Mus musculus: one gene and its partner. Each later gene encodes a partner of the first gene's protein in a complex. Links are inferred from orthologs where the notes say so. Each region holds a gene or a part of one and is shown on either strand. Other genes may lie near its edges.

Region 1 (3,749 bases):
TTGTAGGGTTTTTTTTTGTTTGTTTGTTTGTTTGTTTGTTTTTTACATCACTCTGGTTGCTGCGAGAATCAGTTGTCCTTTGACCTCCTTTGATCCTACCATGGGCTCCTCCTCCTCCTTCTTCAATATATTTATTTTCTGTATCTATGAGTACACTGTAGCTCTGACACACCAGAAGAGGCACTGGATTCCATTACAGATGGTTGTGAGTCACCTTGTGGTTGCTGGGAATTGAACTCAAGACCTCTGGAACAGCAGTCAGTACTCTTAGCCACTGAGCCATCTCTCCAGCCCAAGGACACATGTTCTTATAAATAAATTTAAATTTAAAAATAGTATATCAAATGACCTGTGTAGTTCAGTTGTGGAGGGTTTGCATGAGACCCTGGATTCAACCTTCAGCACTGTGGAAGAGAGATGAAAAAAACATCACTATTAGCTGAGAATGTGAAAATAGCACTTTGGGAAAAAGACTTCATCTGCTAAAGATAATAGATCAAGAAAATGTGACTAAATAGTAAGAATTATTAAATCTTGGGGATAGATTCAATGACGTTCATTAGACTGTGTTCTGTGTTGTGAATTTGCCCTAATAAAATTTTAAAGGGATAAACCCAATGCTTTTTATTATTACATTTATTTATTTACTTACTTTATTTATTGTGCATGTGTAGGGCTATAATAAAGAAGTGCAGTAAAACATGTTGCAGCACTGGGGCAGTTGATAGAGTGCTTGCCTAAGCATGTGGTCCTGTTTTCATCCCAACATTGCAAAAGTCAGGCATAATGGCGCTTATCTGTAGCCGAAGCACTAGTGAGGTGGAGGCAGGTTCGTAAGTTCTAGGTCATCTTCGGCTACACCGCAAATTAGAGAGCAGCCTAGGTTCCATGGGACCCTGCCTCAAAAGCAAATAAAGACAATCTCTATACATGTTTCTTTTTTTCTGCGAGCAGCGATCGTGTATCTTCTCTGCAACTCCACTAGTTAATGTTGCACACTGCTCCCCGGGATTCTGATTTCAGGGGTATGAGGTAACGTCTGGGCGCTGAGGTGTTTTTTTTTTTTTTTTTTTTTTTTTTTTAAAGTGCTCCAGGTGTTTTAACATGCAAAATTGACAGGCTCCTTTGGGAAACGTTCTCCTTTCTTCACATAAGATCCGTCTGCGCTCTGGCGTGGGCTCTCCATGGTGGGTTCAGGGAGCCAAGCTTCTTCCACACTGCAAACGCTCAGGCGTCTCCCGGACAACCGGAGGGATGGAATGCTAACAAGGCTGCCGGCGCTCTGCCACTCACTCAGCATTCTATGGTACTTTGGAGTCCACTCTAGCAAATTAAGGTCGGTTTCTCTATGGTAGCCGGTTTCCCAGCGCAGCCTGGTCGGCGTTTTCTTCCGGATCAAAGAAGAGGCTAGACTTCCTTCCGGAAGTGACCCACGTGCTTCTTATTTCGCCTGCCTTGGTACCCGGTAACTTTTTACTATTGACCCGAAGTTGGGGACGTTGCGGGAGCTGTGACCTGCCCCAGGCCGTGGTGAGTGGGCCGTGGTGTCTGATACCCAGGGTAACCCTGATTCCTGATTATGCCATTGCCGTGACAGAGGCTCAGCCTTTAGACCCACCCCGGGAACCTAGGCTGTGGTTAGGGTCACATTCTCGGGGCTGCATGGGTTCAGACCCACGGTTTTGTGTGTTCCGTCCCAACTGTCAATCCTCTGGCTCTAGGAGTGATCTCGAGGTACTAAGAGGGCTCGGTTTCCATCCCCGAGCCCCATGACATCGCGAGTGACCTTGAGCTGGACACTGTCCTCTTTAAGGGCCTCATCTCCACTTCTGTTAAGAGGGCTGATTACGTTTACTGAGCGGGGTATTGGTCCCCGCTGGTCTGAAACACTGTAATTCCTCGCGCCCTCCAGCCCCCCCGGGGGGGTGGTACTAGGGTGAACCGGGAGGGATCGATGCTGACTGATCATGTCCGCTCCTAGGACTAAAGACCAGGAGGCTATTCTCTCCACGGTGCTAAGTTGACATGGATCCGCTCAGAGCCCAGCAGCTGGCTGCGGAGCTGGAGGTGGAGATGATGGCTGACATGTACAACAGGTAAAGAGAAGCACTCGGCTTCACCTTGTCTAGGAAAACTCGCCCTAGTCACCCCTAGCCCGACAGAGTGAAGCACTTGTAACGAATGCTTTCGATAAGGTAGTGGAGCCAAGTCCCGCCCTCCTAATCCCGCCCCACCCTCACCGCGTGCTTCGCTGAAGTAAATACAGGTCACTGGAAGGACTTGGTTGGCTATTTGGAGGGAATAAAAGGGGTGTATGATGGAGAATCTCCTGCCCAGGCTCTGCTGAGTATCAAGAACATATAAGCACTTTCTCTTCTCTTCTCTTCTCTTCTCTTCTCTTCTCTTCTCTTCTCTTCTCTTCTCTTCTCTTCTCTTCTCTTCTCTTCTCTCCTCGTTTCCATCTTTCTTTCTCCTTAGATAGCCCATTTACCCTTGTTTATGTAGTTTATGTATTTTGTGTTTGTTTATGAATGCCAACATGCATGCCATAGCGCCACACATGTGGAGGTCAGAGGGCAGCTTAATAGGATCTCATCTTGGATTGAACTCAAATCTTCTGGTTTGGCAGCAAGTGCCTTTGCCGCCTAAGCCTTCTGAACAGCCATTTAGTAATGAATAGTATTTAGTTGCTAATATTTATTAATGTTTTTCTTCCTTTTTGGGGGGGATGGAGTGGATGTTGTTTTGTTCTTGTTTTTCACGATGGGGCTTCTCTGTGTTGCCTTGGTTGTCAGCTTAATCTGTATAGACCAGGCTGGCCTCACTCTCAGAGATCCACCTGTCTCATTCTCTTGGGTGCTGGGATTAAAGGTGTGCACACTCGGCCTAAATTATACTTTAACTCTGTGTTAGGCATTTGCAAAGCATTTTATATATATTATCACTTTAAATTTATTTATTTGTTTGTTTACTTGTTTTCTGTGTATGGATGTTTTGCTTGCATGCCCGCAGAGGCCAGTAGAGGGCATCATATCTCCAGGAACTGGAGTCAAAGATAGTTGTGGGCTACCGTGTGGGTGCTGGGAACCTAACCTAGGTCCTCTGCAAGAGCAGTCAGTTCTCTTAACCACTTTCCAGGCCCCCATTATCAGTTTTGTAAATAGTTAAAAATAATTCAAAGGGAGAAGGGGATATAATAACGTAGGATTTTTGTCTAGAATGCAGGATGCCCTTGGTTTGATCTTGACATGGTGCCTATAATTTCAGCAGTTAGAGGCCAGAGACTAAATAGTTCAGGATCATTCTTGGCTATATAGTGGGTTCAAAACCAGCCTGGGATAGATGAGACCAGTCTCAAAAGAAAGAAAGGGAAGAAAGAAAGAAAATCAGTGGGTTAATTTTATTAGTACTATTTTAACACAGGGGAATTGAGGTGTCAAGGGGTTTAATAATCTCAGGGGCTGTAGCTGGTCAGTAGCAATGTCAGGACCAGAACTTCAGCCTGACTTCAAACTACTGCTTGTAGCCGTTTGGAAACATCTTGCTGCACCATCAGCAGCTGAGTGTCTTTAGGCTGAATGTCATAACTGGTTACTCATCAGTAAAACTGACCTAAGAAGCACTGCTCCCTCCATAAAGACATTGCAATATTAAACTGAAAGCCTCTAGCATTAGCACATCATACAGGAACCAGCAGGTATCTGCTGGTTTTCGACAGCAGCTCTCGGTAGGTTTGTCTTGGAGACTAC
Region 2 (3,749 bases), on another chromosome or scaffold:
TTCCACCACAGCCAATTTATTCCCTTGGTTTGGAGAAACAATCTCTCGCAGTTTCCTCGCTGGCATTTTAAGCCTTTGCCCCCTTTCCAGGCTAAACTCAACGTTTTTCATCTGGTTAGTCACAAATCAAGTCCCGCCGTTCTTAACAGAGGGAATTCTAGCTTCTCAAAACTTAAGGACGCAGTTTCTCCTTGAGTACCAGGAAAAGAAGTAATGGTGGAAGTGAATTTGAAAAACACCTGAGTTCCAAAAATAATTATGAAGCAGTCATTAACTTAGAAAGTCTATAGGCAAAATATCCATAAAGCTGTAAATTTCGATTTTGACATTTAATCCAGGGCTAAATACGACAAAAACAAAAAACAAAACAAAACAAAAAGTCTTGATCCCACTGAGTCTGTTAATGCATCGAAGAAATAAATTTCAAAGGAATTATGCCAAGAGCAAAAGAGAAGCCACGGGAACCGTAATAAAAACGCACTCCTCCAAACCCAGAGCTGCAGCTGAAAACCCCAACAGACGTGGAGGCGGGGTTAGGATTTGTTAAGGAGACCCAGACGAGCAGGCAACGTTAAAATCGTGTTTTTTAAAACACCACCCTCATAAGAGCTTAGTAGATTTCTTTCTACGAGTCAGGACGCAATTTCGGACACCTCAACTTAGTCTTCAGAGTCTCCACAGAGTCCGGCACACACGCCGTCTTGATTTTGATAGAATAACAGCTTCGGTTGTTCGCGGGTCAATACCGTCTTCCCCGAAAACCCGCCCTTGAGCGTCAGCACGCATGCGCGCAAAGATCCAACCCCCCCCCCCCCGACCGGAACGGGAGTGCTCTGGTGCTCTTCCATTCGTGTCCGGGTGGAAACAAACTCCCAACATAAAAGACTGCCAGGAGATGTGACTTTTTTTTTTTAAAGGCAGAATATCGCCTTTATGTTTGGACACAGTACTAAGTATTCCTAGAGGAATGGCGAATTCTCGATTAGCCCATAAACACTTTTGTTTATCAAGGGTTATTTACACTGTAGGAACTGCAGACCGTTAGAAACCTAGTAGGTTAAGCATATTAGGCTTTCTAGAAATTTCGACAGATTCCGTTGCCGTGGAAAAGGAAGTGAAAAGTACAGAGAGCACTGACGAACAGATAATCACAAAAGTTAATTCTTAGATGATTTTTAGAATTTGCTTGGGCACTTGCTTTTCTTCCTACATTTTCCCACGTGGTAACGAATCTGCGTCTAAGGGTCTGAAGCCATGCTTGACATCACTGCCCCCACGTGTTCTCAGCTTTCCGCGGCGCGGCGCTCGCTCTGTACTGACCCTCCGAGCTCACACGCTACCTGCCCCGCAGCTCTTCAGCCCGGTCCCGGTGTCAGAGGCGAGATCCTGTGGCTAAGTATGGTCCCTTTCCTCTGCTTTCATAATCCCGGGTTCGCGGCCAGTGGGGTGACAGCCTTCACTCGGGAAAGGGAGCGGGCAGGTACCCCGGAGGGAGACGCCGCGTGCACGCGGGTCGTGGGGCTGCGCAACCGGCAGCGCGGCGCAGCGGGAGGCCAGCCGTGTCCCGGAGGCCTTGTCACCCCGAGGGTGGGGACCCTAGGCCCCGAGACACCGCCCACCCGGGACTGGATCGCTTGGGGGCACGCTTTGAGATTACAAGGTAGCCAGCCACTCGATGACCTTGAGCTGTCAGACAGGAGCCCCTTTACTGAAAATCTAGACTTCCTCGGCTCTTACCCTGTCTGCACACTATGCCTTATGTCATTAGGTACAAGGGCTCGCACCCTTCCCAGGTCTCATATTGGAGAACGCACTGCTTAGAGCTTTCCCATTACGCCTTGCTAGAAGCTTTTAAAATGTATTTTTTTAAAGTATAATAGATTAATCATTTTTCTACCTATTACATTTTCTCTTGTTGTAGATTTATCTGTTGGTTCATGATTTGTTGTATAAGTGTATTAAAAGACCGAATGGCAATGTCAGAGCTGCAAGAGACCTTAGGGATGAATTAACTTCTGTAATTTCTATATAAAAGTTAGATATGAAAAAAAATGACCTTTCCCCTCTAATTTCAAAACGCTGAGCAACTGCAACAGCAATCAGTAAAGTGACCTGAGTAAATAATTTGTAACGAATGTCAGACCTGGGACTCCACCCCCCAAGTAGCGTGGTTCTCATCTTCCTTGAGGCTAGACTTTGAATCGGGAAACAATAGGAATTCATTTTCAAGTGCTTTTAGCTATGATTAACACTGAGTTAATTAAGAGTTGCCTGTAATGCTGGGTGTAGTGGCAGCCTTTAGGCCTAGCTACAAAGAGCTCCAAGACAGCTGGGGCTACATAGAGAAACCCTGTCGAAAGAGATAGAGAGAGAGAGAAAGAAAGAGAGAAAGACAAAAAAAAAAAAAAAAAAACAACCTTGTCTGTTCATCCCACAACCTAACTAAACCTGCAAATAATCTAAAGGATCATGTGAAAAATAATAAGATAATAAAATAAAAAAATTTCTATTAAGTATTTGAACTCTCAAAATAAACACTGACTTATAGCCTCTGAACAAAAAATAGTTTAGGGGATTATTATTCTTTTTGTCAACATTTTTTTAACTATGTTTCTCCCCCCCACCTCATTTTCACATCAAGTTCCCCTCACCCTTCCCTAAATACATCTGTAGATACACTTTGTTTCACTGAAGCATTTGTAAATAAGTTTCAGACATCATGAGCTTGAGCCCTAATTGTTGCAGCCTGTGCCTCCTAAAGGGCATTACAGTCTGCAAAGATTATCACACTTAGATGACATTTAGATTTTCTTAATTATCTAAAAATTGCCTTTATTGTTACGAGAGTGGCCAGCTGCCTTATGTCATTAAAAGGCCAGGTCCCACAGCTGGAAGTGGTCTGTCTGTCTCTCTTTCCCTCCCTTCCCTCCTCCTCTGCTGAGAGCCTGGAACTCAGAGATCTGAATGCCTCTCCCAGGTGCTGGGATTAAAGGTATGAGCCACCACACGTGCTTGTATGCATGTGTGTATATGTATCATGTGACTGCCTGGTGCTTGACGAGGCCAGAGAGGAGTTGCAGACCCTTGCTTGGAACTGCTCCTGCCAGCTGTGAGCTGTGTATACTGGGAACCTAACTTGCTGCAAGAGCAATGAGTACTCTTTTGTTGTTTTGCTTGTTTGAGGGGTACTTGGTTGGTTTATTTATTGAGGCAGGGATTCTCTGTGCAGTTCTGCCTGTCTTGAGCTAGCTCGGCTGTAGATCAGACTGGCCTCAAACTGAGAGATCTGCCTGCCTCTCCCTCCAGAGTGTTGGGATGAAAGGTGTGCGCTAACTGCCTGGCTACGAGTACTCTTACCACTGAGCATCTCTCTAGCTCCTCATCTTATTTTTGAAAACTAGTCTAGTTTTCTTAGCTATTCTACACTATGGGTTTTCCTAATTATTCCTTCATGACCAGAAAAAGAGCCAATATTTTTAGACCAGAATGCCACTAAAGTAATGGTGTGTGCCCTAGAGCGTCGCAGCGGGGAATTTTTCCTAGTGGTAGCATTGGACCTTGTGTGATGCTAGATTGACCCATTTAATTATGGTGGTAACTGTCTATGTTAACAATGAGAGGAACAGATTCTTCATAAATAACCTAGAGAGGTGCTTGAAGACGGTGGTATCTCTTGTTTCCTAGCATATCCCTATAGTTCTATCCATTGAAAGGCTTTGACAAAACCTCAAGGTTTCGAATCACATTAC

What was found.
Region 2: the proteins of Timm10 (region 1) and Timm9 are in contact, whole or in part, in a crystal structure (PDB 2BSK), measured with the Homo sapiens proteins. The link is inferred for Mus musculus from reciprocal best matches to the Homo sapiens genes TIMM10 and TIMM9. Residues at the interface, in NP_036588.1 of Homo sapiens: Glu16, Met17, Asp20, Met21, Arg24, Ala28, Cys29, Lys32, Cys50, Arg53, Cys54, Ser56, Lys57, Tyr58, Asp60, Ile61, His62, Arg64, Met65, Gly66, Lys68, Leu69, Leu72; in NP_001291414.1 of Homo sapiens: Lys15, Leu18, Gly19, Tyr21, Asn22, Lys23, Thr25, Glu26, Cys28, Phe29, Leu30, Val33, Asp35, Phe36, Thr37, Thr38, Arg39, Glu40, Val41, Glu45, Thr46, Glu50, Leu53, Leu57.

The regions. Positions count from the first base shown.
Region 1 is NC_000068.7:84,825,618-84,829,366, forward strand, and holds the start of Timm10 (mitochondrial import inner membrane translocase subunit Tim10), read left to right. Parts: upstream 1-1,403; 5' UTR 1,404-1,530; intron 1,531-1,981; 5' UTR 1,982-2,025; coding exon 2,026-2,096; intron 2,097-3,749.
Region 2 is NC_000078.6:71,134,202-71,137,950, reverse strand, and holds the start of Timm9 (mitochondrial import inner membrane translocase subunit Tim9), read left to right. Parts: upstream 1-1,275; 5' UTR 1,276-1,396; intron 1,397-2,977; exon of another isoform or gene 2,978-2,992; intron 2,993-3,749. Other genes in the region: 2700049A03Rik (protein TALPID3), read right to left, coding at 1-111. UniProt on the Homo sapiens protein: Mitochondrial intermembrane chaperone that participates in the import and insertion of multi-pass transmembrane proteins into the mitochondrial inner membrane.